Xenopus tropicalis: one gene and its partners. The main gene of each other region encodes a partner of the protein of the gene in region 5 in a complex. Links are inferred from orthologs where the notes say so. Each region holds a gene or a part of one and is shown on either strand. Other genes may lie near its edges. The genes, in order: samhd1, rbl1, e2f1, gmnc, ccna2, cdc6 and rb1.

Evidence for each region.
Region 1: the proteins of ccna2 (region 5) and samhd1 are in contact, whole or in part, in a cryo-EM structure (PDB 9HIW), measured with the Homo sapiens proteins. The link is inferred for Xenopus tropicalis from reciprocal best matches to the Homo sapiens genes CCNA2 and SAMHD1. Residues at the interface, in NP_001228.2 of Homo sapiens: Met210, Ile213, Leu214, Trp217, Glu220, Val221, Glu224, Arg250, Leu253, Gln254, Tyr280, Ile281, Thr282, Asp283, Asp284, Thr285; in NP_056289.2 of Homo sapiens: Lys615, Ser616, Arg617, Val618, Gln619, Leu620, Phe621, Lys622.
Region 2: the proteins of ccna2 (region 5) and rbl1 are in contact, whole or in part, in a crystal structure (PDB 1H28), measured with the Homo sapiens proteins. The link is inferred for Xenopus tropicalis from reciprocal best matches to the Homo sapiens genes CCNA2 and RBL1. Residues at the interface, in NP_001228.2 of Homo sapiens: Met210, Ile213, Leu214, Asp216, Trp217, Glu220, Glu224, Arg250, Gly251, Lys252, Leu253, Gln254, Tyr280, Ile281, Thr282, Asp283, Thr285, Tyr286; in NP_002886.2 of Homo sapiens: Gly654, Ser655, Ala656, Lys657, Arg658, Arg659, Leu660, Phe661, Gly662, Glu663.
Region 3: the proteins of ccna2 (region 5) and e2f1 are in contact, whole or in part, in a crystal structure (PDB 1H24), measured with the Homo sapiens proteins. The link is inferred for Xenopus tropicalis from reciprocal best matches to the Homo sapiens genes CCNA2 and E2F1. Residues at the interface, in NP_001228.2 of Homo sapiens: Met210, Ile213, Leu214, Trp217, Glu220, Val221, Glu224, Arg250, Gln254, Tyr280, Ile281, Thr282, Asp283, Thr285; in NP_005216.1 of Homo sapiens: Val88, Lys89, Arg90, Arg91, Leu92, Asp93, Leu94, Glu95.
Region 4: the proteins of ccna2 (region 5) and gmnc are in contact, whole or in part, in a cryo-EM structure (PDB 9HIU), measured with the Homo sapiens proteins. The link is inferred for Xenopus tropicalis from reciprocal best matches to the Homo sapiens genes CCNA2 and GMNC. Residues at the interface, in NP_001228.2 of Homo sapiens: Met210, Ile213, Leu214, Asp216, Trp217, Glu220, Val221, Glu224, Arg250, Leu253, Gln254, Tyr280, Ile281, Thr282, Asp283, Thr285; in NP_001140158.1 of Homo sapiens: Asn165, Ala166, Lys167, Arg168, Asn169, Leu170, Ser171, Glu173, Phe174, Ala175.
Region 6: the proteins of ccna2 (region 5) and cdc6 are in contact, whole or in part, in a crystal structure (PDB 2CCH), measured with the Homo sapiens proteins. The link is inferred for Xenopus tropicalis from reciprocal best matches to the Homo sapiens genes CCNA2 and CDC6. Residues at the interface, in NP_001228.2 of Homo sapiens: Met210, Ile213, Leu214, Trp217, Glu220, Val221, Glu224, Tyr225, Arg250, Leu253, Gln254, Glu277, Tyr280, Ile281, Thr282, Asp283, Thr285; in NP_001245.1 of Homo sapiens: His89, Thr90, Leu91, Lys92, Gly93, Arg94, Arg95, Leu96, Val97, Phe98, Asp99, Asn100.
Region 7: the proteins of ccna2 (region 5) and rb1 are in contact, whole or in part, in a crystal structure (PDB 1H25), measured with the Homo sapiens proteins. The link is inferred for Xenopus tropicalis from reciprocal best matches to the Homo sapiens genes CCNA2 and RB1. Residues at the interface, in NP_001228.2 of Homo sapiens: Met210, Ile213, Leu214, Trp217, Glu220, Glu224, Arg250, Leu253, Gln254, Tyr280, Ile281, Thr282, Asp283, Thr285; in NP_000312.2 of Homo sapiens: Pro869, Lys870, Pro871, Leu872, Lys873, Lys874, Leu875, Phe877, Asp878.

The regions. Positions count from the first base shown.
Region 1 is NC_030686.2:42,477,677-42,481,993, forward strand, and holds part of samhd1 (deoxynucleoside triphosphate triphosphohydrolase SAMHD1), read left to right. Parts: intron 1-283; coding exon 284-423; intron 424-1,314; coding exon 1,315-1,410; intron 1,411-2,435; coding exon 2,436-2,540; intron 2,541-3,245; coding exon 3,246-3,383; intron 3,384-4,317.
Region 2 is NC_030686.2:42,375,520-42,378,684, reverse strand, and holds the end of rbl1 (retinoblastoma-like protein 1), read right to left. Parts: intron 2,750-3,165; coding exon 2,585-2,749; intron 2,455-2,584; coding exon 2,287-2,454; 3' UTR 1,098-2,286; downstream 1-1,097. UniProt on the Homo sapiens protein: Key regulator of entry into cell division. Directly involved in heterochromatin formation by maintaining overall chromatin structure and, in particular, that of constitutive heterochromatin by stabilizing histone methylation.
Region 3 is NC_030686.2:41,689,872-41,694,696, reverse strand, and holds the start of e2f1 (transcription factor E2F1), read right to left. Parts: upstream 3,225-4,825; 5' UTR 1,751-3,224; coding exon 1,514-1,750; intron 1-1,513. UniProt on the Homo sapiens protein: Transcription activator that binds DNA cooperatively with DP proteins through the E2 recognition site, 5'-TTTC[CG]CGC-3' found in the promoter region of a number of genes whose products are involved in cell cycle regulation or in DNA replication.
Region 4 is NC_030681.2:104,601,857-104,606,642, reverse strand, and holds the start of gmnc (geminin coiled-coil domain-containing protein 1), read left to right. Parts: upstream 1-1,353; 5' UTR 1,354-1,834; coding exon 1,835-1,876; intron 1,877-2,701; coding exon 2,702-2,876; intron 2,877-3,177; coding exon 3,178-3,263; intron 3,264-3,525; coding exon 3,526-3,642; intron 3,643-4,786. UniProt on the Homo sapiens protein: Regulator of DNA replication. Promotes initiation of chromosomal DNA replication by mediating TOPBP1- and CDK2-dependent recruitment of CDC45L onto replication origins.
Region 5 is NC_030677.2:66,840,735-66,844,272, forward strand, and holds the end of ccna2 (cyclin-A2), read left to right. Parts: intron 1-1,174; coding exon 1,175-1,288; intron 1,289-1,925; coding exon 1,926-2,059; intron 2,060-2,175; coding exon 2,176-2,230; 3' UTR 2,231-2,549; downstream 2,550-3,538. UniProt on the Homo sapiens protein: Cyclin which controls both the G1/S and the G2/M transition phases of the cell cycle. Functions through the formation of specific serine/threonine protein kinase holoenzyme complexes with the cyclin-dependent protein kinases CDK1 or CDK2.
Region 6 is NC_030686.2:8,864,890-8,869,182, forward strand, and holds part of cdc6 (cell division control protein 6 homolog), read right to left. Parts: intron 3,195-4,293; 5' UTR 3,193-3,194; coding exon 3,015-3,192; intron 2,921-3,014; coding exon 2,657-2,920; intron 2,391-2,656; coding exon 2,191-2,390; intron 1,773-2,190; coding exon 1,603-1,772; intron 1,478-1,602; coding exon 1,371-1,477; intron 1,083-1,370; coding exon 943-1,082; intron 488-942; coding exon 387-487; intron 36-386; coding exon 1-35. UniProt on the Homo sapiens protein: Involved in the initiation of DNA replication. Also participates in checkpoint controls that ensure DNA replication is completed before mitosis is initiated.
Region 7 is NC_030678.2:135,015,848-135,020,164, forward strand, and holds part of rb1 (retinoblastoma-associated protein), read left to right. Parts: intron 1-1,714; coding exon 1,715-1,745; intron 1,746-2,654; coding exon 2,655-2,797; intron 2,798-2,921; coding exon 2,922-2,971; intron 2,972-4,317. UniProt on the Homo sapiens protein: Tumor suppressor that is a key regulator of the G1/S transition of the cell cycle. The hypophosphorylated form binds transcription regulators of the E2F family, preventing transcription of E2F-responsive genes.

The DNA of each region.
Region 1 (4,317 bases), on a different chromosome or scaffold from region 5:
GAGATGGCCTTTCCATAATTCGGAACTTTCTGGATAATGGGTTTCCGGATAAGGGGTCCGATACCTGTGTATAATACTTATTATTCAGGCCAACACAAAAATTGTTTTGTATCCCTCAAGGTGAATCCCTGATCCTGCCTGGGTGGATTGATGCCCTTTTTAAAATGCATTTTAGTGAGATCATTGTGCTGAATAATGTTAAAATCTCTGGAGAGCGCTGTGACTCTCATTTCCCTATAACTGAGTGAGAAATGAATGATATATTCCTGCACTTTTCTTCCAGATAACATATACCATCACATCCTTTATTCTGATAATCCTGATCTAAAGGAAGCCAGAGAAATTTTGCGCAAAGTAGAACGGCGACAGCTGTACAAATTTGTAGGACAAACGCACCCTAGCATCAACTCCAGAATTGAACCGGTAAGGATTAACAGCTGGGAAATGCACGCTCTCTAGTACTGGGTTTCTTTGTATGGTTAAGGCAGTGTAAACTGTGCTGCTTGCTCAGTCATTACAGTCATGGGGTTGAACCGGTATTGCCACAACCTATAGCTAGAAGGGACAGCACTGTGTAAACGTCACTGTTTCTTGTGAAAGGAGGGGCCTTTTTACATTGCACACTTGGGGCCCTCTAGCTATTCTCAGGTGCCTGAAATTGGAAACATACAGTCAAATCAAGCAGAATGCTGTGGGGTAATAAAAGCATTTGGTTAAACCACTTGATTATGGTGATAACGACCAACCCAACAAGTCCCTAAAGGTCCCCACACAGCATAAGATCCGCTCGTTTGGCGATGTCACCAAGCGAGCGGATCTTCTCCCAATATCCCCCACCTACGGGTGGGCAATATCGGGAGAATCCAGGGTAATTCGATCATTTGGCCCTGGGTCCAAACGATCGAATTATAACGGTGGGTATAGGAAAAGTCGGTCCGGGGACCGCATCAACAAGCCGATGCGGTCCCCGATCCGACTAGATTTTCTAACCTGCCCGATCGAGATCTGCCCGATTTCAGGCCAGATATCGGTCGGGCAGGCTGTTGGGAGTGCACATACATGGGCCGATTAGCTGCCGAATCGGTCTAAGGGACCCATATCGGCAGCTACTATCAGCCTGTGTATGGGAACCTTTACGCCAATGCAGAACTGAGAGCAGCTGTAGTTGAGGACTATGTTGTATGTCACTGTTTCCTTGAGTCCATTATATGCAGCACTGACTATAACATTTACAATTACCCCTTCTACAAGTGAGTGCTTCTTTCCTTTCTTTTCATTAACTATACAAATACAGTATGTGCATTTCTCCTGCAGGATGAATATGATACATTACCAGCGGATCTGGCAAAATCAGTTCCACAAACATCAACAACAGATGTAGAACTTAACACAGAGGACTTTATAGTAGATGTAAGTAGCCCTTCCCATTAGACTGTATGCGGAATAAATTGATTGGGTGATGGAAAGGCTTGCCTTAGATATTGCTTGAAGCTGCTGTTGTAATGGGGATTAACATTAAAAGGGTTATCCTTATCGGGTGCAGCATGCCAAAATGACGCTAAGTGCAGTCTCTTACCCAATAAGAGTGCCTATTCTAGGTGCAAATCTCCATTACTGCTTTCTGCAAGTTCTTTTGTTCTGTGCGATTGGACATACTTACTGACATCAGTCTCCTGTACATTAACTGTAAGTTCTCTCTGCATCATATGTCAGTGCTATGTGAATAAACAGTAATTGTATTCCATAATATGCACCATTAAAAGGAGAAGGAAAGGCATTTTAGCATCTTACTGCAAATAGATTTGCCACATTAGTGCCACATAGAATGCTATATTTATTCTGCAGAAAGCTTTACCATACCTGAGTAAACAACCCTAGAAGCCCCCTCTGTTTGTTTAAGATAGCAGCTGCCGTTTTAGCTTGGTCTCCTCTGGCTTCCTGCTGCAGCTCTAGCTGTTGGTAGCTCAGATTACACATTCTTATGGGAGGGGGAGTGAGTTTTATGAATTCTTATTGCAGGAAAAGGTGATGTACTGTGTTAGCCAGTCAAAAAATGTTTACAGGGTAACCCTTTTGAAATAAAAAATAACAAAAGTGGTATAAAGGTGATACCTTTATTGGCTAACTAAGATAACCATAGCAAGCTTTCAGAACATTCTAGTTCCTTTTTCAAGCTGATGGGAGGGGGGAGCAGGAGAGGGGAGAGCTGAGCAGACTCTGCCCTGGGAATTAAGGATTTTTTCTGAGAGAGGAAGTCTGATACCGAAGAACACGTTTACAAAAAAGGAGACAAGAAATCTTTTGTTTCTTTTGATAGAGGACTCTGATAAAACTTACTTAGTTTTTACCTTTCCTTCTCCTTGAAATATGTACCTTGCGGGATGCCCCTTGTATTTCAGAGCATGTGGCAGTTTTAATTGTGATGTTTTCTGTAGGTAATTCATATGGATTATGGAATGAAAGAACAGAATCCAATAAACAACGTGCGCTTCTACTGCAAGTCGGATCCTCGCAAAGCAATAAAGATTAGAAGAGATCAGGTAAGTGAAATTCCAGTGGGTGAATCTTCTCTGCACTGAGCCATGTGGATACTTGGGAGCTTGTTCCCTCTGTGTGAACCCCACGAGGCAGGACTGAGATGGATTCATTTCAATATCAACATTGGAATCTTTTCAAAAACGCAAACGTTTTTTTTTTTTTTTTTATATTTAATTTGGAATTTCACATGGGACTAGCCATATTCTTCATTTCCCAGGGTGCCACAGCCATGTGACCTGTGCTCTGATAAACGTCAGTCATACTTTACTGCTGTGCTGCAAGTTGGAGTGATATCCCCCCCCCCTCCCCCAGCAGCCGATCAGCAGAACAGTGGGAAGGGAGCAAGATAGCAGCTCCCAGTAGGTATCAGAATAGCACTCAATAGTAAGAAATCCAAGTCTGGCTTGGGACTCCTCCAGTTACATGGGAGTAGGAGAAACAATAGGTTAGCTGAAAGCAGTTCTAATGTGTAGCGCTGGGTCCTTCTGAAAGCTCAGACTCAGGCACAATGCACTGAGATGGCGCCTACACACCAATATTACAGCTAAAAACACATTTATTGGTTCAAGAATAAAATGTTAAATGGCAGAGGGAATTATTTGCTATGTAAACAGTGTCATTTAAAAATAAAAAGTACCCCATAAAAATCATGACAGTATCCCTTTAAGTACAAACTTACCAATCTTATCTTTTTATTTCTATATCAGGTTTCCCAGCTCCTGCCGGAGAAATTTGCTGAGCAGATTATCCGTGTTTATTGCAAGAAAACGGACGAAAGAAGCTTGGAGGCGGCAAAAAGATATTTTGTTCAGTGGTGCATGAACAAGGATTTCTCTAAACCACAGGTTTGAATGTGCCTCACTATTTCCACCGTACTCTCTCCCAGCATTCACTGTGCAAGCAGAGCCTATAAACATAGATTCCATCAGTAGCTTCAGCTTTGCTGTTATACTTGTCAGTTGGCGCAAATAAATAATAGCCACAGGGTTGTACTCTCATGTGCAAAGAAGAGATGCAGGAAGGTATCACTATTTTTTCTACATGGAACTATGTGGGACCCTTAATAAGTAGAATGAGCCATAGTTGTAAAAAGTTAAAGTTGTATTAGGGCATAATAAATAGTCTAACGTGTTTTGTACCTGGGACAGAAAATAGGCCCCGGCAGTACACAGAGGCCCAATAAATAGTGACTGTCTATGGCATCTTACAGCAGCCCCTCTGGCATTTGCCTGAACCCACAGATTGCCAGTCTGGGCCTGGGTCCTGGCATTCCAAGTACCCAGAGGCCCAAACAGCCCCCTCCAGCCCAATAAATAGTGACTGTCTATGGCATCTTACAGCAGCCCCTCTGGCATTTGCCTGAACCCACAGATTGCCAGTCTGGGCCTGGGTCCTGGCATTCCAAGTACACAGAGGCCCAAACAGCCCCCTCCAGCCCAATAAATAGTGACTGTCTATGGCATCTTACAGCAGCCCCTCTGGCATTTGCCTGAACCCACAGATTGCCAGTCTGGGCCTGGGTCCTGGCATTCCAAGTACACAGAGGCCCAAACAGCCCCCTCCAGCCCAATAAATAGTGACTGTCTATGGCATCTTACAGCAGCCCCTCTGGCATTTGCCTGAACCCACAGATTGCCAGTCTGGGCCTGGGTCCTGGCATTCCAAGTACCCAGAGGCCCAAACAGCCCCCTCCAGCCCAATAAATAGTGACTGTCTATGGCAACTTACAGCAGCCCCTCTGGCATTTGCCTGAACCCACAGATTGCCAGTCTGGGCCTG
Region 2 (3,165 bases), on a different chromosome or scaffold from region 5:
GAGGAGTCTAATCCAAGATATAAAGTTAGGGCCTGTCAATTTTTTTCTAGGAGAAAAGGCACAGGTTAAATAGCAGATAACTAGTAGATAAGCCCCATATAATGGGGGTTTATCTGTTATCTGCTAAGTAACCGGTGCCTTTTCTCCTTTGAATGGCTGCCCCCATGGCTACACAGCAGCTTACTTATATAAACTATAGTAGTCTTTCTGAGGCAAACACCAGTTGTAGCAATGCAGGGCAACAGTACATTATATTGTTATTACTTTTATACACTTTCATTTTTTGGTGTTACTGTTCCTTTAAGTCATTCAACGTTAATTGCCTTAGGGGGCATCTAAAGAGGCCAGGATTCTAGAACTGCATACATGTTCAATTTGAAAGTGAGTGTATAGTCATCCCAAGTTAACAGCAATACTTTAGCTAGGTATCAAGCCCTGTTTGATCTACATGAGCAATTGAGATGATTACTTTGCTTAAGCCCTCTGCTCTATTATTAAGTGCCCGCACCTGTTGCCAAAGTTGCGCCAGTTTGTCCGGTACTCGGTGGACCACGTCCTCCAAGTCGGATCACCAAAGCTAAGCACAGGTTGTGTGGTCTCTGCAGGTTTTGGAAGTTCTGGCACAGCAGGGAGAGGTCTGCCTTGATCATTTTGAGTTGCGTGGTGACCAAAGTGTGGATCCCGTTAATTGCAGCTAGCAGGCCAGCATTAGAAGGATCGGGAGTTGTGTTTGCGGGTGCGGGCTGTTCAGAAAATGATGGAAGGTGGGTCCGCATCTGCAGCCTTGTGTGCAGTCATTGTAAACTGCGGTAGAAATTCTCATTTTGCTGGATGCTGCTAATCACCATAGAGAGTGCACCCTCAGGCCAGGGATTCTTAAACTTTAGGTTGGGATCATAAAATGGGTCCCCAGGCTGTTTAACATTGGCTGTCCATGACCCCTGCACCCCATTATGGATACTGATTGGTTCATCAGCTGGGCAACAGAGTATGGCAAATAGGCAGATGAGGAATTGTAGTTACAGCTCCTCCACACTTTGTTATTCCAACTGTTTAGGCTTTCAGCCCCACCAAAAGAAGTCAGTACAAGTACCCAGTAATAGTAGGGACCTTTTTATTTTACATATTTACACATAGGCATATTACATATACATTTATATACTATAACCTTCAGCCTACACTATTGTGGTACACCTGCAGCTCCATTTCAGGCAGATGCTTCATTGGTCTGTTGCAAGGATCTGGGGCTGCATAGATTTCATTCCTCCTCTCTTATTTGGTGTACCATATATAATGTAAAAGTCAGAATTGTGAATAGGATGCTTCAAGAAGATTCATCTGAATGGAAGTGACATTGTAATGTACAATAAAACGTTATGTACAGAGATTTAAAAAGGTGCCAGCAAACCATAAAAAGGTGTAGATGCTACACAATTTCATTCAGCTCAAAAAAGCACAGCAAAGATTCACATCAAAGGGTTTCATTTTACGCTAGGAATAAAAAGATAAAATGGCTGCACGCAGATAGAGCAGGAAAAACCCAGCACAGAAAATGCACTGCCAAATATTTCTACTCCTTTTCCCTGGAGTCCGTAAAATGACTGTATAAACACAGCGCAACGCTGGAAAATCCAAGATTTTGTTGCCAGATCTTGATTGAACTCAATCTGTAAGTTCATACATTACAATAAAAAGAATCTCCATTAATGCTTTTGGAGCAAAAAGAACACTTAAAAAGGAACAATAAAAACTGTATGCTGCGCTGCTGAAAGCTAGTGTTCATAAAATTAAAAGTCTATAGTTAAAAAATGTACTCATGAAGCTTTGCTTTGTATCAGTAAAATGCTACTGCAGGTAATGAAATAGAATTCAGTCCACTAGGGGGCGCCTCCACCGGCAGTATTATTACAGCTCACAACATTCAACCCTGATGAACTCAGTAAGCCATATATGTTTCATATAAAGGCAAAACTGAGGAACGATAGACTTTCCTTTATCACAATAGGTTAAAAATATCATGTTAAGAAAAAAATAGATAAAACCATGGAAACGGCAGGGCAGTTGTCCCATCACGACTGACCACGTGGCTAAGGCTTTTGGCCAACTGCAGTGATTGAGATTGCAGACAGTAGCTAGCAAACAGTGTACAATATCATACGTGCAAGAAGAGTCTCCAACACCTAATGGAACTCGGGGGCCCAGTTGGAAGGGTACTGACCCGAGACTTGCCTAAAATGTAGCTTTTTAATGGGCCGGAACCACAGAATGCCAATGGCCAGACTGCAGCTAATGGTTGGCCCTCTCACTCACGACATCCTGCAGGCGTTTCAGCAGAGCATCATCATTTTCCTGGCAGAGCCGCTTTGCCGGGGACTCCGTGTCGCTGTCAATAGCAATGATCCGCTTCCGGCTCCTCTGCTCCTGTTTCAGCATGCTGTTTATGTCCTGCAAGCTCTTCAATAAACAGAATATAATAAGTACAGAGTCCCTTTAATGTCAACCAATGCCACCAATCAAGCTCCCCTTTATTCTACTGTATAACTATAATCGGGATATAAACGTCCCCAGCAAGGGCACAACTTACTTTTGAAGGACTTCCATTAAACTTGTACAGGAGGGCTGTGTGGGGAGTCAGGCTGCCGCTGTTCTTATGGGGAGACACATAGATAGAATGCTGCTGGGATACTCGGCGGGGAGAAATAGCTTGTTGCTTGATGCTGGGAAATGGCGAAAGAGGCGGAGCATCCATCTAAAAAGAAAAAAATCACATCAAATGTATGGCCCATGCTATAAAAAGGAAAAGGACACCTTCACAATAACTTAATATGTTAAAGATAGATCAGTTTAGGTAACTTCATTATGATGATGGATGGCTGGTTGCCAAGGTCACTGACCCTGGCAACCAAACAGCTCAAGACAATTTTATTATTGCTTTTTTTCTAGGTCCTCTATCTGGGTGAAGACACAGGGGGCGATTAGTAATCTGCGTAGTGAAAACTCACGGGTGTTTAGTCGCAGCGACTTCTATTATAACCTATGGCAGAAAAGTCACTGCGATTAGTCACCGCAACAGACTTTTTAAAAAGTTGCGGCAACTAATCGCCCCATGTTTTTTCGCCCTTATACATCTCCCATTTTTATTTCAAGACTGCTCCCTCCTCTCTA
Region 3 (4,825 bases), on a different chromosome or scaffold from region 5:
TACCTGTACTTGATCCCAACTAAGATATAATTACACCTTATTGGGGCAGAACAGCCCTATTGGGTTTATTTAATGGTTAAATGATTCCCTTTTCTCTGTAATAATAAAACAGTACCTGTACTTGATCCCAACTAAGATATAATTACCCCTTATTGGGGCAGAACAGCCCTATTGAGTTTATTTAATGGTATAATAATGGTATATGGTATATAATTACCCCTTATTGGGGGCAGAACAATTCTATTGGAAAAGACCACTTATCCGGAAAACCCCAGGTCCCGAGCATTCTGGATAATGGGCCCCATACCTGTACTCATCTTTCCATGCATATGTCAGTCACTCATTCAAAGCACTGCCTGGTTGCTAGGGCGGTTAACCCTAACAACCAGGTGTGGCTGCTGAAATGCCAAACTGAAGTTATTTTACAAAAAGCTTAATAAATATCTGCATTAAACTTAAGATGAAGAACCCCTTCCATAATAACCACTGACACCATGTTTTTATTAACATACACAATACCTATACTCAATATATTTAAAATAATGCATAAACTAAAACAAATGCACAATTACTATAGGTAGGTGCATATAAAGCATTTCTTTTTTACTTGCTCAGCAAATAAATGAATAAATGCTGCTGAACTGTTACGAAGTCCTACACTTGGCAGAAATGTGTAGCTGTTTCCCTGAGCAATTACATATTTTTTTCTTTCAGGCCTAAAGCAACTTTTACCCCAGCCAAGACCGATTTCAGTGCATACTTGCAAACCTCATTTGCTACATAACATACATATTTTTTGTGCTTATTGGTGAGGTTACCCAATGCTACAGCAGTGCTGCAGATGACACCCTTACATATTTCTGCAGCTGAGAGATAAAGAGCACTCAGGAACAGTGACTGGTCATTTAAACAGTTACAGCTACAACTTGACTGCCACCGAGGCAGATCAAAAGGGCAAGAAACCTTAACCAGCCTATACTTTACAATGCCCTAAATGTTTACCTCCATAATACTAAAGTACGTGCTCTAGAGAACAATAACCATATAAAAATAAAATTATTTTCATGCAGGATTATTCCCCGCATTCCCTATATATTATATATATATTTTGTCCCTGAGGAAGAGCACAGATTGTGCTCGAAATGTTGGAATTTTTTCAATAAAACCACTTTTTCTTTTGTATCAAGTCCCTATGTGTGCGGCACTCTTTCTATTATATTTTTGTTTTTTTGACCTGCACCAGGGGCATTTGGACTTGTATAGGGTGTGCTCCTCCCTGTATACTTATATATATATATATATACACACACACACACACAAGTCCAATAGCAGCAGGCACTCACGTTATATATAGTCTTATTCTGCCTTGGTGCAGTCATTCAAAAAAAATAACTAATGCTTCAATAAATTTCCTTTATTTTTTCACACTAAGTCCTATATATATATATATATATATATATATATATATATATATATATATATATATATATAAATAAATGATAAATAAAATTACCGGTGGGCGTCCAAGATCAGGCCTCTGTGCAGTGTATGACGTGGAAGGACCCTGAGGGGTGGTAAAAAGCATTAACTCTGCCTCACTGAGACCAGGGTTTCCAGCAGCTTCAGCAGGGACATCTGGGGTGGATATAATAACAATCTGCTGTTCAGCCACCTGGAAGGTTCCAGCTTCCCAGAGAGCCCCAAAATCTCCTTCACTGCAGCTATAAGACACCCCAAACTCCTGGGACATGATCAGATGGTGGTGTTCATCTTTGCTTCAAGAGTTCCCATAACAGAAGAAAACAGCTGATAATACAACAGAGGCCTAAGTGTTCCAATGGAGCTTTAAGCCAACAGCAACCCCTGGGCTGGACCATGGGACAACAAAAAGGGGGGTGCAGGTGAAAACAGCCTTTGAGCAAACATCATGGAACATCCAGATTCAGCCCCAAAATAAATGCCATTTCCAAGTATCCATAACAACTCAGTAATATAAAAGGGGGGAAATGGTTTTGCAAAGTGCTAAAATCTTTAAAACCAGCTAACTTTCTGCTTGCTCATTCACACAGGCTGCACCTGTCAACAAAAGGATCACAATGTCGGGCGCCTCTGATAAGCAAAAGTCTTGTCTTTTGAGATCTTCTTGTCGAAATACGTAAGCTCCGACGGCGACTTAGAATGCAGCCCCGAAGGCCAAAATTCAGTGTATAAAAGGGAGAGACTTCTAGCAAAATTCACTGTGTTAAAGGGCAACTACAACGTCTTAGAACAAAAAACTCAATTACAAAAACTCTATAAAGCAAAGGCTCAGAACAAAACACACTACTAATAACAAAACAATGCACTGAATTAAAGGGGAACTAAAACAACAAAATGCACTGAATTAAAGGGGAACTAAAACAACAAAATGCACTGAATTAAAGGGAAACTACAAGTTCTTAGCACAAAAAACACTTAATTACAAAAACTCTATAAAGCAAAGGCTCAGAACAAAATACACTACTAATTACAAAACAATGCAAGCCCTCAAAACAATATGCACTGAATTAAAGGGGAACTAAAGCAACTGAAATAACAAAATGCACTGAATTAAAGGGGAACTAAAACGACTGAATCAACAAAATGCACTACATTTAATAGGCATTTATATAACCCCATGAACTGCCCTGTAATAACTCAAGAATAGCTTCACCCAAACCCTCAAAAAATGTATCTAAGTGCAGAAAAAAAGCCTAAACTGGCTAAAAACAGAGCAGAAAACATTAAATACAAAGTCTAATAGAAATAGGGTGGTAAAGTGCTTGACCCAGTCCAAAGCAGAATAGAAAAAAAAACACCAAGGCAGGGACAGGGTTAAAATAAGAAGTCTATAGGAAAAGCTGCTAAAACCCCAAAGCACATATTTATATTAGTGCAAAGATTCATGTATTGGGAGGGGGGTGCGGGAATAATGTCAGTGTGTTGTCCTCTCCTATAAAAGGCTTATTCCTGAGGCACGACGAACTCCAATAAAAGAAATTGTTATTGGTTCCTGTAGGCATTCACGGTCCCGGTACCACCACCGCCGGCGGTCGGTTCCTCCCAGACTTGCTATTGTTTTCGCCTCCCAGCTGATCCCCCGGTCTCCCTCAGCTCGCCCATTTGCGCGCCAATTCCTTTTTTGCCGCGAAACCATACACAACGTCAGCGGCGGCGCGCCATTGGCCACAGCGGAAACGCCCGGCGCGCCTTATTGGCTGGCCGGTGTTTGGAAGGCGCTGGCGGGAAAGAATAGAGGTGACAGAGCGGCGGCGCGACCAATCAGAGTGGACAAAAAAAGAAACAACGCAGGTGATTGGTTAGTGTACGCAAGGGGGTAGGCAGGCCTGATAGTGTAACAGGAAAAAATAGGCTCATTTCCTAGAGAGCTTTGAAAGAGAGAGAGAGAGAGGGGAGGCTGAATGGGAAGAGTTGTTTGTTAGTGAGTGAGCGGAGGTCAGAAAATCTAAATAGCACATTCCTTACAAAGGCGGCTTGGCTTTATGCCAGGTGGGAAACGCGTCTAAGTGATAAATGAAGGTTTCCATAAAACCTCTTTTATATCTTATTCCGTGACGTAGACATCGTTAAATAGAAATAGGAAGTCTACCTCTACCCTTTCATGTTTGTTTTAGTTGTGCAGGGAAATGCTGGTACTAAGGGAAAAGAACTCAACTGTTCTGCCATGTGTCAAATATCACCCCTACCGCCCCAAACACTCAATAAAATTGCTCTGGGTCAGCGGGACGGTTTAAACCATAAATTGGGCCAGGGTACTTTATAGTACATCAGCGCCCGACTGCCATTTCTGAGACAGAGGCCACAACGTTGTCTTATCTGCTGTTTCCTTATACCTCCCAACATATATGAAAATAAAGCAGGAAACAACCTCTGAGACGGGCACTGCAGTGAATTTTTTTTTTTGCCACGTCCATTTTGTGGTTTATACATGTAGGAATGGATACATCAGGAGTGAGGAAGCACTAGCTGCACCACCGTTTTATGACAGATGTTATAACAGACACACTTCGGCGCCCACATTTCATGCCACAGTCTGGCCCCCAAGCATTTTATGACAGACATGGTGGTCTTCCAAACATTTCATGACAGACCCTTTGGTCCCCAAAGCATTTCATGACAGACACCGTGGACCCCAAAGCATTTCATGCGAGACACAGTGGTTCCCAAAGCATTTCATGACAGACATCATGGTCCCCCAAGCATTTTATAACAGACGCTTTGGTCCCCAAAGCATTTCATGACAGACACCGTGGTCCCCAAAGCATTTCATGCGAGATACAGTGGTTCCCAAAGCATTTCATGCGAGACACAGTGGTTCCCAAAGCATTTCATGACAGACATCGTGGTCCCCCAAGCATTTTATAACAGACGCTTTGGTCCCCAAAGCATTTCATGACAGACACCGTGGCCCCCCCAAGCATTTCATGACAGACACCGTGGTCCCCCAAGCATTTTATAACAGACACCGTGGTCCAACAAGCATTTCATCACAGACGCCATGGTCCCCAAAGCATTATATCACAGACGCCCAAACATTTAATCACAGACACCGTGGTCTCCAAAGCATTTCATGACAGACACCGTGGTCCCCGAAGCATTTCATGACAGACACCGTGGTCCCCGAAGCATTTCATGACAGACACTGTCATGCCTAATGACAGCCATGGTAGTCCCCCCAAGCATTATACATACTGTAACCCTCAAGCATCTTGTGACATCCAATTCATATCTTTAATATGTTCTCAATATATGATTTGTATAGCAACAACAAGCTTAGACCCAGGTA
Region 4 (4,786 bases), on a different chromosome or scaffold from region 5:
TTATATTAGGCTGTAAATTCCTGTCTGGACACGGCTCCCAATTACTCAAACAAATCTTCCATCTCCTCCAATCTATAACACTAAAGTGGCACAAACCAATCGATTTTTTTTTTCATATAAAATCAGGTAGCTTTATTATTGTGAAATAGGTAAGTCAAGCAAATATCAATTAAGCAGAATTAAAACAGAATTTAGTTTATTTAAACCCATGGTCCCAAATGCTTATTTAAATAACAATATCTAGTGATCGGCAAAGTTGTCTTTATTCAGCTCATGTATAGTTGTACTTGTGTTTAGCAAACAGTGACTACTGGAGCCTCGCACAATCCTCTGGCTTTATACCCCACTGATATCCCACTGAGCCCCCTCACTTTGCTCTTCTTACCTCCTGCCTTACAAGCTCATTAGAAAAATGACTCAATATCCAAATCAGCTCCCTAACCATATTCATAAGTGCTGATATTGCATTGCAATGTGATGTTTTTTTCAATCAATCACCATATGTGTATATTAAGAAAAAGGTAGAATACATCAACTTTTTAAATCCACTCCATGGGCTTGAAAGTATTTTCATCTAAAGTATTTTCTAAAATAAACTTGATTGTCTGACCCAATACACATGGGACTTGGTCCTTTGGTCTCCTAGGCAGAGGGAACTGGTGACAAGTAGAATGGGACCCCAATTAAAAAAAATAAAAGGCCAAAACAAATGCAACTGCATCTCTGATCCTTCCCAGCTACAGCACATTTGACATCCCTGTCATCACACTTTTACATCTCTGGGGTCCCCCTCTGCAATATGGCCCCTGACTGCAATACCCCCCCCCATATACCACCCTGATGGCAGCCCTGCTTGTGGCCCCTCGTACCCCAAGCCCCCCTGCTGTTATGGGGTTTACCTCCTCTATAGTTACATGATTGATTGTGGGGCTGTCTTCAAAAGAGAATGAAGTGCAATTACAAGTTCTTGAAGGGGGGACCCATTCATTTAGACTGCTTGGGCACCCAAGTGAACTTCCATAAGGCGCTGCTGGAGCCACAATAAACACTTTCTTATTTAACGATTGAAACTATTATAAATGCACAGCTGTATTTGAACTTATCCCAGTTTAGCACCTATGCTTTCCAGTCTCCAATCACGCACAGACCAACTCTTACCCCTGCACTCAAATTTTTGGCTTTTATTTATTGCATCCATATAGAGAATGTGGAACAGGTATTGCAGTATTATTACAGTGTATTACAGTATTATAACAGTGTATTTCAGTAGTATAAAAGTGTAATACAGTATTATAACAGTGTATGTCTGTATTATAACAGTATATTATAGTGTTATAACAGTGACATTGTAAGAATATTCCTAACACTGCTGGTAAACTCAAACTCTAGCTGCACACACTGCCTCCCACCTGTGCTACAATTCCCTGCTTTTGGTGTGGGGAGGGCAGAGGGAGTTTAAAATTGCTGTATTACAGACTCCATAATAAGTTTTCAACTGTTTATGTTGATCAAGATTTTTTTTTGCATGTGATAATTGACATAGATAAGAGCCTGTCCCACCCCATTGAACACTTTAGTTTTAATACAGAATAAACAAATGTGGGGTTGGGTGAGCAGAGCTAGATAAAAGCAGACTTTATTCTGTATGGTAATTTATTGGGAATGAATAGCTTTGATTTGGGCAGGCTGCTACCATCACCTATTTGACAGCTTGGCACCAAATCAGATTCGTGGTTTCCAGAGTCCTGGGGGAGTGGCCCAGCTCCCATAGATTAGGGCTGCTCTGGCTCAGCCCTCCCTCACTTCCCTTTAAATACTGCTCACAGAGGCTTCAATGAAAAGGTGCCTGCCAGGAACACATTCAAGCAACAAAATGGTAAGTGGCTCGTGTGCTCGTCCCTGTATTCAGGAATGGCTCTAGGCTGCCTTTTGCTTTCCAGAAGTGTGCTTCTTTATTCCCTGAGGTGTTGGATTTTGTATATTTAAAACATCCCCTACACAGTCTGTATTTCCCCACTGCTTGTATGAAGTACTTTGGCTCCTGTAGGATTTAATATTGGCTTGCACAGCAGCTGCAATGAAACTAAATGTAACTTTTGGTTTTTAAAGACACATTGCTGGACTTTGGGTGACTGCAAGCCCCTTTTGCTAATTTCCAAAACCTTTAGGTTGTGTTACCTGCTGGTTCATATGTACCTGTCTGCACTACCACCTGGAAAGTGGGGACTTGCAGTTGTCTTTCCTGGTCCTGTCCTGTGCTACAAAGCTGCTATTTCCAAGCTCTGCATAGTGTGAGAGTTATACCTGCACATAGGCTGAAAGGAGATTTAATTCTGGCACTTGGCATTGGCAGCTAGATAGGTCAGTGGCTGCTGCTTGTACTTCTGCCTGCACTTGGCGCGCTCCTGCCTCCTTCAAGTTGTAATAATGAATGGGTCAGTGTAGAAGAGAGGGGCAGAATGCTGAGTGTCTGCTGGAAATCTTGGCATCTAGAGGAATCTCAGTAGTTGGGTGCAAGTCCATTGCCAGCTGATTTGGATTCCCATTCACAATGTTGAACAGGACAATGCTCAGTGAATAGTGGGAGTCGAACAAGAGAGAATGGAGCGCTACCTCCCCGAAGTCTCTTTGCTTTTGCTCAGACACACAAGGATCTATGTGACCATATCTAACAAGTGCTCCGTTTATGTTGATTTTTCAGAACACCATTCTGACTTGCCAAGACCAGTACTTTGCAGGGGGTCAGGGTTATGACTGCCCATACTTTTCCTCAACGTCAGCCTCCACTGTTGATGTTTCCAAGGAGACTTGGGTCTCTCTCTGGGCTTCTGGTCTCCTGGACAACAGATCAAGCAGCCATGCCCCACACACTCAAGGTAAGTCACCTCTCCCCCAAGTAAAAATTAATTCCAGATAAGAAAATTAGATAAGGGGTGGCAGATGATGGAATAGTTTTGCTCTCTGTTAATTTTTCACATTAAGACTTTTTTATACTGTACTTTCATTGTTTTTTTATAATTGTGTTTACCTTTATTTAATATACTGACATGAAATATCAGATTAATTTAGAGTAAATGAACTGTTTATTTAAGCCTTGCCCACACTGTTCTTTCACTGTATGTTGTTCTACTTTGGGTTTGCTTAAGTCATTAAACCTGGACCTGTCTCTCCTTATAGAGCAAATTTATAACATGGGGAACTCACTCCAAGAAGATTATCTGTTTGGTGACCAACTATCTACCCAGATATTCGCCAATAAGCAGGTAAATATGTTTAAATATTAAAAACCAGAAAACTGTACATAGGAGGGGTAATCTAGGGGTGTCCAAAACATAACCCAGCCAGCATCCTTCACTCTCAATCCCAATTACTTTGAACACTGACTCTGTAATGATCTTGGGGGGGGGCATTCTAATTATGTATAGTACTAAAGGCTCAGATGAGGTATACAGAGATCACAGTGGGACGTTCATAAGTTTATCCAACGTATTTCCAGCCACACTAAGTTCATTTCTTTCCCCACAGCTCCAGGATACCCTACTGCAAAGGGAAGAGGAGCTGGCCAGACTTCATGAAGAGAATAACAAACTGAAGGAATACCTGAACTCTGCCTTTGTAAAAGCCTTAGAGGAAAAGACCAAGGTGTGTACTACAAGCCTGATCAGCTTCCCCATCTGAGATAGTATAAGCACTAATCTTTCATTGAGTGAAAGGGGAACATTATCTGCAATGGGTTTATCTACAGCAAACACAGCAATTAATTATCTAGTAGGTAAATTAGCAGTACTAATCTATCCCACTATGATAGCGATCTGCCCAGATAAGAAGGGCTTCTAGATATATCACACGTGCTGGAGAGGCTTCCCTGTATGCTGAATTAATTGCTGCTAAACTGTTCCCTTTTAGGAGCAAGTGCTTTAATCAGGGCGGTGCAAAGTGGAAAGTAGCCCAGGGTGAGCACTCTGACTCTCACTCACTTTAGCAATTCAATAGGCTCTATTGTTTGCTGCATTGTGTGCTTGCAAATTGCACCTGTACCTGGCCTAGATCCCCTGCAGCGCTAAACACTCGTCAGCACTCCAGCAAAAGAAGTTTCATTGTCAGAGTGCTGGAATGCCAAACACTGTAATCCATTCCTGCTACAGGTTCTTACTGCAGAAATCAATGGCTGAAAGGGCAGGCAAAAGATTTGTGCTGGTTCTATTGTAAGAGGCATCATTTGAAGCAGATGGGATTTTGTACTTAAGAGGCAGTTCACCTTTCAAACATTTTTTTCTTCAGTTCAGACAGTCAAGAAGGGATCATTCTTTTGTTTAGTTGCTTCCTATGTATTATTTGTTGCTGTTTTAAGTATTATTATCGTCCCTATGCCGTTACCCCGGTAGCTGATCAGTAAACCAGCCTGCCCACTGTCTGAACTTTTACAATTTGCTCCATTAGTTCAAACATTTCTCAGCAGCATCAGAGATATGCCAGCAACTAATCAACTGACTTCAGTAACATTCAGGGCTACTCTTGGAAAACAGGAAAAGGTGAAAAATCAACCTTTTAAGATTTTTAAACAAAAGTGGTCACAAATAATCCATGAAAATCATCATCATGAAAAAAGTCATTTAGTAGAACTTGTTCACCTACAACTCCCAGCATTCTCCCACAGCCTTAGGATGTCACTGGCAGTTGTAGTTGGAGGTTCCCAGAATGATTATATTTGGATTGAACCAATGGGAGTGGAAGCAGATCTAGTAATATATCGGAATGAAGCTGATTCTAATGTATGGAAATCTTT
Region 5 (3,538 bases):
AACATTTCCTATCCACCTCCTCACTTGATTCTGGTTGACAGTCCTGCACTGTACATTATTTTGCTCAGGTCCCTTTAAAGGAACAATTGCTAACATGAGAATTTTATATAGGCTTTCTCATGTAAATAAACTTTCTGTATTTTTGGGAATTGGCAATCTTCTCTTCCACCAGAAGCTGGTCAGTTTGGTTGTCTAATCAAAGGAGCATGCAAATTTATTTGACCTAACTGTCAAAGTATGTGCTTATTGCACACAGCTCCATGTAGAGACAAACTGCTTAGGGGGATGTAAGAGTAACTTGAGTATTAATATTCCTTTCCATGACATGAAGGTTCACATTCACCATAGTGCCCATTTTAACAAGCCATTCAGTTGTAGTTCACATTACATTTCAAGCTGAAGTTTTTACATCCCTTGACATTTAACAGCCAAGCTTATATTTACAATAATTTTCCTTTCGAAAAAGCTGATTTTACCATGGTGGGTTTAACAGAAAAGGTGTGAGCTAGTACATTTACTGCCACAGGTTTAAACATGACTTCTGTTTGCTGTGGGTTCAGCATTAATATGAGAAAAATGTAACCATGCAGCCTATGGGTAACTATGTGAATGACTGCGTATGTATGGCCTGCTTTTCTAGATGCATATTGGCGTCTCAGTCTTGTTTAAAGGGATGGTTCACCTTTAAGTTAACATATATAATGTCACAGAATGGCCATTTCTAAGCAACTTTAAAATTGGTCTTCAGTTTTTGGTCAAAAGCTTTTATAGCTTTTGCTCTGTAAGGCTACATTTTTATTTTTTTTTGCTATTCAGCCCCTCTACTATTCCTAAATCACTCTCAACCTGCTCCCTGGTTACTAAGGTAAATTGGACCCTAGCATCCAGAACTACTGAAAATCCAAACTGGAGAGCTGCCTTTCAATTAAAAAAAAAAAATTAGACAAATTGCAAATTTGCTCAGAATATTAATCTCTACATTATACTTGAAGTTCACTTAATGGTGAACAACACCTTTAAGTAGCCAGTGCTGTTGTATGGCCAGCTAAGTACTACTTTTTAGTTGGATGGCTGTTCTGATGCTCTGTCTTGAGTTTATTTAAAAAAAAAAAAAAAACTGTTCAGTCAGCCATGGCTGTAATGTGTTTATAGTAAATATCCCTTTGTCTTACAGTTCTTGGGAGAGCTCAGCTTGGTTGATGCTGATCCTTTCCTGCGGTATCTGCCATCTGTTGTTGCTGCAGCAGCATTTGTCATTGCCAACTACACAGTTAATGAGAGAACTTGGGTATGTAAAGCACTTTTTTCCCCAACATGTAAGATACTATGTAGCACAGTGCCATCACAACTTTTCATTCTGAGGTAGTTGATACCCCACAATACTTACTGCTACAACATTAAAGAAACTTTTTTTTAGAATTAATACATAACTTATACCATAAGTGCAATTTTAAAGCATTTTACCAACCTGGAATATACATCTGTAAATATTGCACTTCTACCTTGAGCCACCATTTTGTGATGCTCCCTCAGACCACCTGACCGGAACTGCAGCTATAACTGTAATAGGAGGAAGCGTGGGGGTAAAAAAAACATCCCTGTCTAATGGCTGCTGCAGCCTAGCAGTATGTAGGCCCTTGGTTTGTGAGCCAGGGGGCAGCCCTTAGTACTTAGAAACTAATTAGGATTATCCAGTGGTACTTAATACTAAAGTCTATTTTCAAGAATTTTTCTAGATTAAGCACGGCCTTACAAATTAGCTGTTTAATGTAACAAAATTTTATGGAGACCTGCAATGTATAAGGTTTTCCTTCCGTGTTACAAGGTGTTGCTGGAATATCAAGCTTGCTTCTTTACTAGCTAGGCTTAAAGTTGCTAATGTAGGTGCAATCAAACTGTATATAATATCTAAAACTTCTTTGCAGTCGGATTCTTTGGTGCAGTACACAGGGTACGCTCTTGAAACACTTAAACCCTGTATTTTGGACCTATACCAGACCTACCTCTCTGCTGCAAGTCACCAACAGCAAGCTGTGCGAGAGAAGTACAAAACTCAGAAGTAAGTAACTGGTTTTTTTTTTTTTTTTTGCCAAGTTTGTAACTTAAATTGTAGATAAATGTAAAACTTGGTGGTTTGCAGGCCTCAAGTTTAAATGTGTTTCTTTTTCCTTCCAGGAATCACTGTGTATCTCTTATTGATCCTCCAGAATCGTTGTCTATATTTTTATAAACTCAAGGGATGGACTTTGAAGATGTATATTGATAAAAGCACATGATGTACAGTTAACTTTTTTTATGATATAGACTTTGATTTTATATTGCAATCTTCAATGTGAGGATTGGAGCGACAGAATTATGAAGCAAAGTCACTTGTTTTTATTTTTACTTTATTTTATAAGGTTTTAAATTTTGTAAATTTTTATGTATGTTAAATCTTGTTAGATATATTGGCTCTTTAAAAAGCTGTTGTGCGCAGATTGAATTAACCAGGCAGTTAGCATATTTTACCTATTGATCATTGTTTGACAATAAATGTTAACTAAACAGCATCAACTGTGGATTGATTTTGTTAACACTGGAAAAAGTCAATGAACTTCCAAATGAACTGTCCCCCTGCAATGTTCACACCTCAGTTTCAGACTCTAACCCCCCCTGTATTCTCACCTGTAAGACCCCAGACTCTAGGCACTAGTTATGAGCTCTTCCGCTTGTGACTTAACACTATTGGCTTGTGAATTTATAGATGTGTGCCTGACACCCTGTCCCTTTTTTGTGATGTCATTGCAGGGCATGTCTATAAATGGAGGGGAGAAGCAGGGTTAAGGTTGGGACTGGGCGGGTTAGGGTCAGGTTGAGGGTTTTTTTTTCCCACCTCACCTGTGCGCACCTAATACTATAGGAGCAGTGCCAGCATATGATGTACTGTAGTACAAACTGGCCACGTTGGAGTGGTCATGGCCAGGTTTCCCCATCTCCTGCCTGTGTGTGCCATACTCTGCCTGCCCTATGCTGCCTGTGTGCTCTTCCCTGCCTGTGCCATACTCTGCTGGGGGGGGGGGGGGGGGGGTCTTGTGCTTTTATCTGCAGATTTGGTTGCCTCTCTGCCTACAATAGAACTCTTGTTGCAGCAAATCTTATTTCTCAAAGTATGGGAGTTTACCTGTTAACTTTATTTCTGTGCACAGAGACTCACCATAAAGGGGACCTGTCACCCAGATAAGGCATTTATAAAAATCCCATACCCGTTATAAAGGCACTTACAAAAATCCCAACTGTTAATCATATATTGCCTGCATTCTTCTGCTCAATCCATACTTGAGGCATCCGCCAACCTTACTGATGCTATTCTGGACACCACTCGGATGTTTGCTGCCGCAGTTATTAGTTTAAAAAGGTCCCTCACATTTCTCCCTTTCAAAGATAATTATTTGGGGAAGATCATTTCACAGGCCACAGGGGGAAAGAGTACTTTCCTTCATTAATCCAAATGCCAGTCTGCCACTTCCTCAAAATGGTACTTTTTTTTTGGCATGGCCAA
Region 6 (4,293 bases), on a different chromosome or scaffold from region 5:
CCCTTACATCCGCTTCAACAATTTCAACAGCTCTCCTACAAGCAAAAAAATTTAAGGATTATGGCCTGGAAAGACATGCATAAACAGCAAAACAGAGCAGCTTTCCAACAGCATTTCCCCAGAGCATGCTAGGAACTGATTATACAAGCGATGCACCACCCACTGCATGCAGCTTCCAGCAGACCTAAGTCTGAAGATGCAGCCACTACTGTGTATTCCTTAATATATGGTACTGCAAAGTATAGTGTTTTGGCATAAACAAACCCACACAGGTTTACTGTAGCTGCTAACCTATCTAGTTATTATATAAAAGAAAATATCAAGTAAATGAATTTTTCCCAGCTGCTGCAATTCCTTTCAACCTTAATCCGAATATAAATAAGTACCTGCAGATGTCTAGTGCCTTTCGAGCATCTCCAGAGACTGCTGAAATTTTCCTGGCACAAAACTGAATAGCAGCATTATCCAGAACCTGGTCACCTGAAACCTGTACCGGAAACAAAATAAGCTCCTTGAACATCAAGATACAGCATGACAATACAACAGTTTTTATGTCACTTGTAGCACAAGTCCCTTGGCATTCATTTTCAAAGCTCTTTTGACCTCTGGCTGAAATAGTCAATGCGCATATCTTGCATACAGGTAACACAAAGGTACCCTCACTTGGTAAACTTGCACAGGCTTTAATGGTTAGTTTCTATTTTTGTCAGCAATTTAATATGAAATAATTGCTTGAGATAATTGTATTGAGAGCAACTAAATGGGGATGAAAACATCTATTTGTATTGTGTACACATGCATTTTTGCATCTGTAATCAACATAATTTAGAGGGTAACTGCCTTAAGTATAGCAGATATCAGGTGCTGTGCTAATCAATTTAAAAATGCAGTAAATTTATATTGAGCATACACAAGAACACTTGTACATCAAGGTTTAATTACCTGATTTAGTCTCTCCTGCAGAATGGTAGCAATCTGATCCTTTGTATACGGAGAGAAGTTAAGCAGCTGTGGCTTGCACTGAGGTCGAGCTTGTAGCCTAGGCAGAATACGGTCTGTCAAATCTAACGCGTTAGCAATGCCTGAGAGGGGGGGAAAAAAAAAAAAATTATACATTAGATGTGTCAAGATGGAATGAGGACCATTAAGCTTCCTAAGAATCATTAAGGCATAGATCATATGCACAGAGCAGTCTGTTTTACAGTAATACATCAGTGGGAAATATATTTAGTCTGGGCACTACTACTGCTCCTTTAGTTACGCATCTTATAAGTAAAACATTTTCAGAGCAAAGAATTAAATGCTCGATATTCTTCAGGTCATATATAACATTTAGATTGATTAAATGTTGTAAAGATTCCGTTGCTTACCAATAAGAACCACCCTAGAATTTGGAAGCCAGGGCCACTCAAACACTGTGTATAAGACATCCTGTCCTCGACTATCGAGCTGATCCATCTCATCCAGCACCAGCAGGCTGCCCAGAAAGGAAGCAAATGTTATATTGATGAGCAAAATAAGAACTTGTAGGAACACAGTTCAAGAGAATGCATGTTACCCACAGTAAAAGCTAAGAGAGACCAAAATATTGTCAGTACGTACATGATTGGGCCCTTTGAAGTCACCGTCTTCTCCAAACTCCTAACAATATCTTTTGCAGCAATTGAAGATTTTCCACCAGAGATTTCTTCAGCTATGGCCGGAAACACCGCCTGGGAGCTGCGCAATGACATGCAGTTGATGTAAACCGTCTTGCATTGCTTGAGGTCATCCTGTGCAGAAAGAATGAGATTAACTATGAATAATGGAAAGTCACAAAACAGTTTATATCATTTTAAATCCTGCTTTCTTTTTACCCAAACCAAGTAATATTGACACATTTAATCACGTTAGAACACTTATGGACACTAATAGGCTAAGCTTCAAGCTCCGCCAGCTGCCCCTTTATTTAACCGTCACTCCACTTCAGCCATAGTTGCTGCAGAAGCATTAGCCTTGGTGAGAGACTGGGGAACTGATGTATCCAGTGCCCCTAGCCTATTGGGTCTTGGCTACAGCAGTGATGTCTGGCTTGGGTGCAGGCAAACAATGATTAAGTAGTGGCTGTATGATTTTTAGAGTGATATGGACCCATTCCTGTAAACAGCATATATAACTTAAATTAAGATATGACACTGAAGCGGAACCAACCTTGCTCTCCTGCAGCAGCTTATTCAAGCAAGCCGTTTTGCCAGTTCCTGGAGCACCAGATATGTAAAGGCTTCCTGGCTTCCCACCAGAGACATGACTTGTCAGGAAGGCCTTGATAGTCGCAGTCTCACTGTCACGGGCCAATAGACGCTCTGGTATAGCTGTATTCAAAGCATGCTTAGCCTTCTGATAGCAAGAACCTAAGCAGGAAAAGGCAAACTGTCAAATATACTGTTTTCAGAACCATTTTTATGACACGCTTGTAGTTGATGACCTGGAGATTATTAAAATTCAACATAAAAAAAATGTATAAATAAATAGTTATAACATTTCAGGAGGCCCAATTTATTCTTAGAATATAGAATCTTAAACCAGAATAAAAAAAAGTGGAGACCTATTAAAGTTTACCTGTTGACAAAGTTAATGCTAATTAAGTGAAAGATTACTTATTCAAGTGCCCACTTACCCTCCTGTTTAAATAGCCGGGCACCCACACTCTTCCTCTCGTTGTTGCGAGAGCTGGATGGTGTCTCTTGCCCCCTTCTCAAAGGGGACAGCAAATAAGGATCCTGCACCCTCTTGAGAGGAGATACAGGTGTTGTTGCCGACTGGTTCTCGTCAAAAAGTAACCGGCGTCCCTTAGGGGTGCTTGGCGGGCCATTCTCTTTGCGAGACTGCTTGGGTGGTGAGCAGCTTAATGTCTGGGGAACATTGCAAAGATTGTCATCACCTGGGTAAAGGAAAAAAAATAGATTAAACACGGTCATCGATAAGGGACTATTTTAGATCAATATAGGAAAATCCCAAGGCTGCCTTTTCCTTACCAAGTCGTTTCCTTGGACTCAGGGGAAGCTCTTTGGGAAGTGGAGAGAGTGGCAGCGCGACAGAGGAGCCGTTTTCCAATTTGGTCCTTTCACGGGAGGCCTCTTTGGTGTGCGTTCGAGCATTTTTTTTCTTGGGAAACTGAATGGCGCTTTGAGACTGAGACCTGGTGCTTGGCATTGCTACAAGAATTATAAGTAGTAAGATTTAGTTCACAATCCATAGGGTTAATGCGAACACCAGCAGACAAACTAAACATTGAAGTTCTGTCAGTAAAACAATGGCAACTCTGGCAAAGCTGAAACTGCAAGCTGGGCCACAAAAAAGCCTTCACAGAAACTTGGTGTAAATAGAAAAAAAATAAAATGCATAAACCTTGACTATCCAAACAGCTTTTCTCAATGGATTTGCCAAAGGGTCACAATAAAGCAATATTCTTTTGCTACAGCCTTTAGGGAGTATAGGTAAAACCAGAATTAAATGTTGACTTTAATGAATATTATAGATTTTTTTAATTAACACACATTTTCAGTGCAAGACCTATATACTTAGCTTGTGCGTAGTCTAAGTGCATATTGCCCCTCCGAGTATTAGCCCTCCCCCTTTTGTAGGATTTATGATGAGGATTACACAGCAGCAGCAGTAGCATGGGAATACTGTAATTTAGAATAAAAGGGCTTTTTGGCTGCACAACAATCTGACTGGTTACTCTGTTAGTACCCTGATGCTACATACAACAGCTTCTCTCGGTATCATTCAAGCATAAAACAAAATGCAGCCGACAGGACATCACTGTTATTATCGCCTTATTGCCAATATCTGCACAACACCCTACGTCTTCATCTTCCCCCCCAGAAACTGCACTAATGAGCACAACCTTCCCATCAACGCTAACAAGCTACAGGGAAGCTTGAGATTAAATCATCAACAGGGAGCAGTTATCCTAATGAACGAGACAAGCACGCAGGATGCAGGTTAACAAGTTTAATCAGAGCGAAGAAAAACAAATCGGCGGGGTTAACTCCTTCAAGCCTTGGATAGTTCAGCTCTGCACATCATAAATATTACTTCCAGTAATATTTCAATGACAGTTTAGGCATAAGGCAACAGACCTAAAAGCCAGAGCTGCAGCTTCTCCTGTAAACGGCATTACCTGCTGATGACCACTGGGGGGCACCTGTACTATGGCAGAAGGGTTGCAAAAAGCCTCATTACACAATATGGCAGCTCTTGGCTACATGAGGCCTTTAAAGGGGAAGTGCAGCAATCAAAAACAAGGGA
Region 7 (4,317 bases), on a different chromosome or scaffold from region 5:
AATTGGCTTTCAATTATGGGAAGATGTTCTGTGTGCACAGTTAGCTCCTTAGCAGCTAATTGTGCACACAGAACGTCTTCCCATAATAACTGTTATGATGGCATAACGTCATTTCTGCAATCAGCAGCGCCCGCCCGCCATGCCTTGCATTATCCCTTGGATCGCAATAAAAATCGCGATCTATTCATTGCTTTTGAGAAGGCGTTGGTGCGGGCCACAAAATATTGTACCGAGGGCCGCAAATGGCCCGCGGGCCGCGAGTTTGAGACCCCTGCACAACATACATGGCATTTCATCACTGCCAAAGCTATTTTAAAGCTATTGGCCATACAAGCCTGGCACTGCCAACACGAATAGGGATACTGTTCAAGTTTGGATCTAAATCTTTAACCAAGCCTATATCATGGCTTTTTATTTTGTTTATTAAAGAAACTAAAAACAGTCCTTAAACCTAAAGTTTAAACAAAAGACAAAAATGAAAACAATAAGGTTATAATAGCTGAGATGGACTTAACACTAGTGAAACAACTACACACTGGGCTTTATTCTTACAACAGAGAAGTACTTAATTATGACTATTCTCTGTGAAATAGGACAACGTATTTTTTTTTCATTACAATGTAAATTTATTAGGTGTTGAACCTGGTATATATTTGCTGACTCCAGTACCCAAAAATTGCTTCCGACTCCACAGCTCTGGTTTTTGTATGTAACCTTGTATGTTCATTGTATACTACCATTTAATGTACAGTGCCACTGTCTGTGACTTTATATATTATACATATTGATTGCTCAAGCACATGTGGCTTTCGCCTGAATTAATTTCTAGTATGATGACAGTTTTAGCCATTTTTTGTTTTACAACAAAAAGAGAATGTTCCTTTTTCTTCATGTTAACTTGATTTTTGTTTATTTTGGTGAAGCTTGTTTTGTTTTTTACTAACACTGCTGGATGGATACTAGATACACATTAAATTGCATTTAGACCTCAGAGTTTCAATTCTGCCTTCATTGACCACATACACTTGTCTTGTGCACGATACAGCAAATTAATTTTGGGAACCTTTTTGCAGACCCATGGTGATTGTTGTAAAGCAGCACCCACTCTTGTGACTAACTGAAGATATTTCTAGATAGGATTTGCTAATGATACACCCTCATCTAATGCTGCCTACAATAATGCAATACTTATTGTAAATCAAGTATATTTTCCCTTCATTGCCTATTTATAGATATATATATATATATATATATATATAAGTCCAAAAATTGGGTGCACACCAGGATATTTTTTAAAGTTAAAACGTTACTTTTATTTAAACATACTGTTAAAACAGGCCAACGTTTCGGTCTCCTCCTAAGACCATTATCAAGACCACATATATATAAATATATATATAGACAAACAAAAATATAAATATATATATATATATATATATATATATATATATATATATATATATATATATGGATATATAGTTTTGTTTTAGATTTTTAGATTTCATAACTGCATATTAATGTAGAGAGAGGTGGAAGAGATAGGAAAAGGTGGCAGTCCAGAAGCAGTTCTAAATTATATCCCTACTAATGAAGGTGTAATGTATCTTTGGATAACTAGTGCAATTGTTTCGTTATCCTATACATTTTTGTGCTGAGAATTAATTGATTCTTTTTTACTTTGTATTTACCTACATCCATTACTTGTGTTTTGCAGTTTCCTTATTTCACTTGGCGAAACATTTAGGGTATGTATGTTTTTTATACATAAGTACATCTAAATGATTGTGTTGCATTGTATGGTGTTCAGTCCATCCAGTGTCAGAATTTTGTCAGTACTGAAACAAATAAAATGATTCTGCTGCTTTCTCTAACCATTGGCAGGGATAGTGAGTTATATAATGGTATAATTACACAATTGCAGATGGTCAGGAGCAGAACATTCTGTGTGCAGCACAATTTGCCATTTGTGCTGGTGTCATTACTTGGGTGCCACAAGCACAGTGTCGGACTGGGATGCCAGGGGCCCACCAGAAAATCCTAGATTATGGGCCCACGCTCCAAACTATTTTTCAGTCACTTCTCACTCAACCGCTATATTTTCATAGTTTTTTTTTATCTTTACATACTATAATCTATTCTTAATATTTAGTCTCTTTGTTCCCATAAAGAAATAGGGAATTTCAATAAATTAGGCCCAATTGTTAGAATCAGGAGGGCCCACTGACACCTGGGCCTACTGGGAGTTTTCCTGGTATCCCTGTGGGCCAGTCTGACACTACACAAGCACACAACTGACAACTTTCCCCCCAATTTCCAGTGAAAAGAAACAGGAGAGAATCCTTGATCCCCCGCTGTTACAACTGGGACAGATCAGGAACAAAATCTTGTTTCTTGTCCTACCCAGGAAGAGTATGAAATGCTGTAGAACAGAGCTGTATAACTTGAGCCAACAGATTCGAGGGCCTCCAGACTTCCCAGTTGGTTTGGCTTCTAAACGTTTGGTACATTGGCCCACTATGTGAATAAAGTGAGAAACTGCAGAGTTGTGTAGGAGCCCATATTGCCTCTTGGTTTCACTCCTGTAATTAAGGATCTCTGTAACTTTATACGATTTCATTGTGTGGTTATTATGTCTAATGTTTTCTCCCATTCAGTCACCTGACAGGTTTCAGAAAATTAACCAAATGCTTAACAGCTGTGAGCGACCAATAAAAAGATGCGCTGATACTGGTGCTGCTCCAAAGCCCCTGAAGAAGCTTCGTTTTGATACAGATGGACAAGATGAAGCTGATGGAAGGTTAGTTGGTAGCTAGGGAGTGTCTGGGCAAAGTTATTCTCATTCTTTACGAAAGTTACAATTTGTAATTGTTTTGCGGTTTTCAGTGAATTTATTTTTAATGAGTTCAAATTTTTCTCTTTAGCAAACATATATCTGAAGAATCCAAATTTCACCAAAAGCTGGCAGAAATGAGTAAGTATTTTGTGAGACACGTGTGTGCTTGTTCAACCATGGGGTGGCCCTAAAATTATCTGTATTGGGCACATAATTGGGAAATAGATGGAAATATATGTAGTGATGTGTGCATTCGGCAAACAGTACCACACTCACAAGAGTATGTTGCCTTTTGTCATACAGGTATGGGATCTATTATCTGCAAACCCTTTATAAAGAAAGCCCTGAATACTTTTCCATAGAAACATATTTCAACAAAACTCTTTGGCCTTTTTTTTTTTTTTTTTTTTTAATTTTATTCGTTGAAATAATATTAGACTTGACACATGGTTTGCCATATTACAGATGCCCTACTTTTTAATGCAAGTGGAAGTACACTTTTTCTCATTATAGATGCCCAAGATCTGAGCTTTCAAGATGTATCATTTGTTACATATCACTACTATAGGAATTGCCATACACTCCTCAGCACTGTACAAGGCCATGGGCTGCTCAGGGGTCCAGTTGTAGGACTTTAGCATTATATGGCGTACATGCTGAGTGCTGGAGACAGCTCAAGCAGGATTTAGACTGAGCAGGTTTCTCTGGATGTTTCTATAACTCATATGGAATTCATGTATAACTCAACTAATGGTTTTTTTTTAGTCCACTAAAAAGTGTGGTAGACTTTGTGGTGGACAGAATCTTTAGTTTGAATGCAGGTCATGAGAGAGGTTTATGGATTTTAGTCCCGTAGTTTCTGGGAGTACGTTTTAAACTTCACTGATTCCGGAAGGGTTTTGGTTTAGATGGTACACTTTGTTACTATAGCCATATATCCCATAGTGTATCTCCACATGGCACTTACTGTAATATGGCAAAAAAAAGAAATACTTATTATATATTTATTTTCTGGACTTTGTTCTAATTACTCTTTCTCACAAGCTCATCTTCCCTCATGAAACTTTCACTTTCAGGGACTCAGTAGTGAGAACGATAGTGTTTTCAGGGTCTCACTATATCTGGAGCACATGTCCACAGGAACATTCTAAATGGGAACCAGCTGCCCCTCCAGTGGCACAGTCACTATAAATGGGACTAGCTTCTGGAAACAAAAATCATATGAAAAGGGTCTTTGAGGCCTATACATAAAATCTCCTGCTGCAAGTGCTGGAACACTAAGGATTTTAAAAAGGTGCTTTGTTACAGAGCAGTTCTATCCTCATTGCACTGTTCATAAGGGTCCATTTTCAGTACCCATATCAGGTCCCTGAGAGCTCACCTAGTTTCACTGTATTTATGCCACCAGCACTTAGTGTTATTGCTACAGAGGGCTCATTTACAAACATAGGTGCTGAATTGCACAAGTGCATTTGTACATTGGT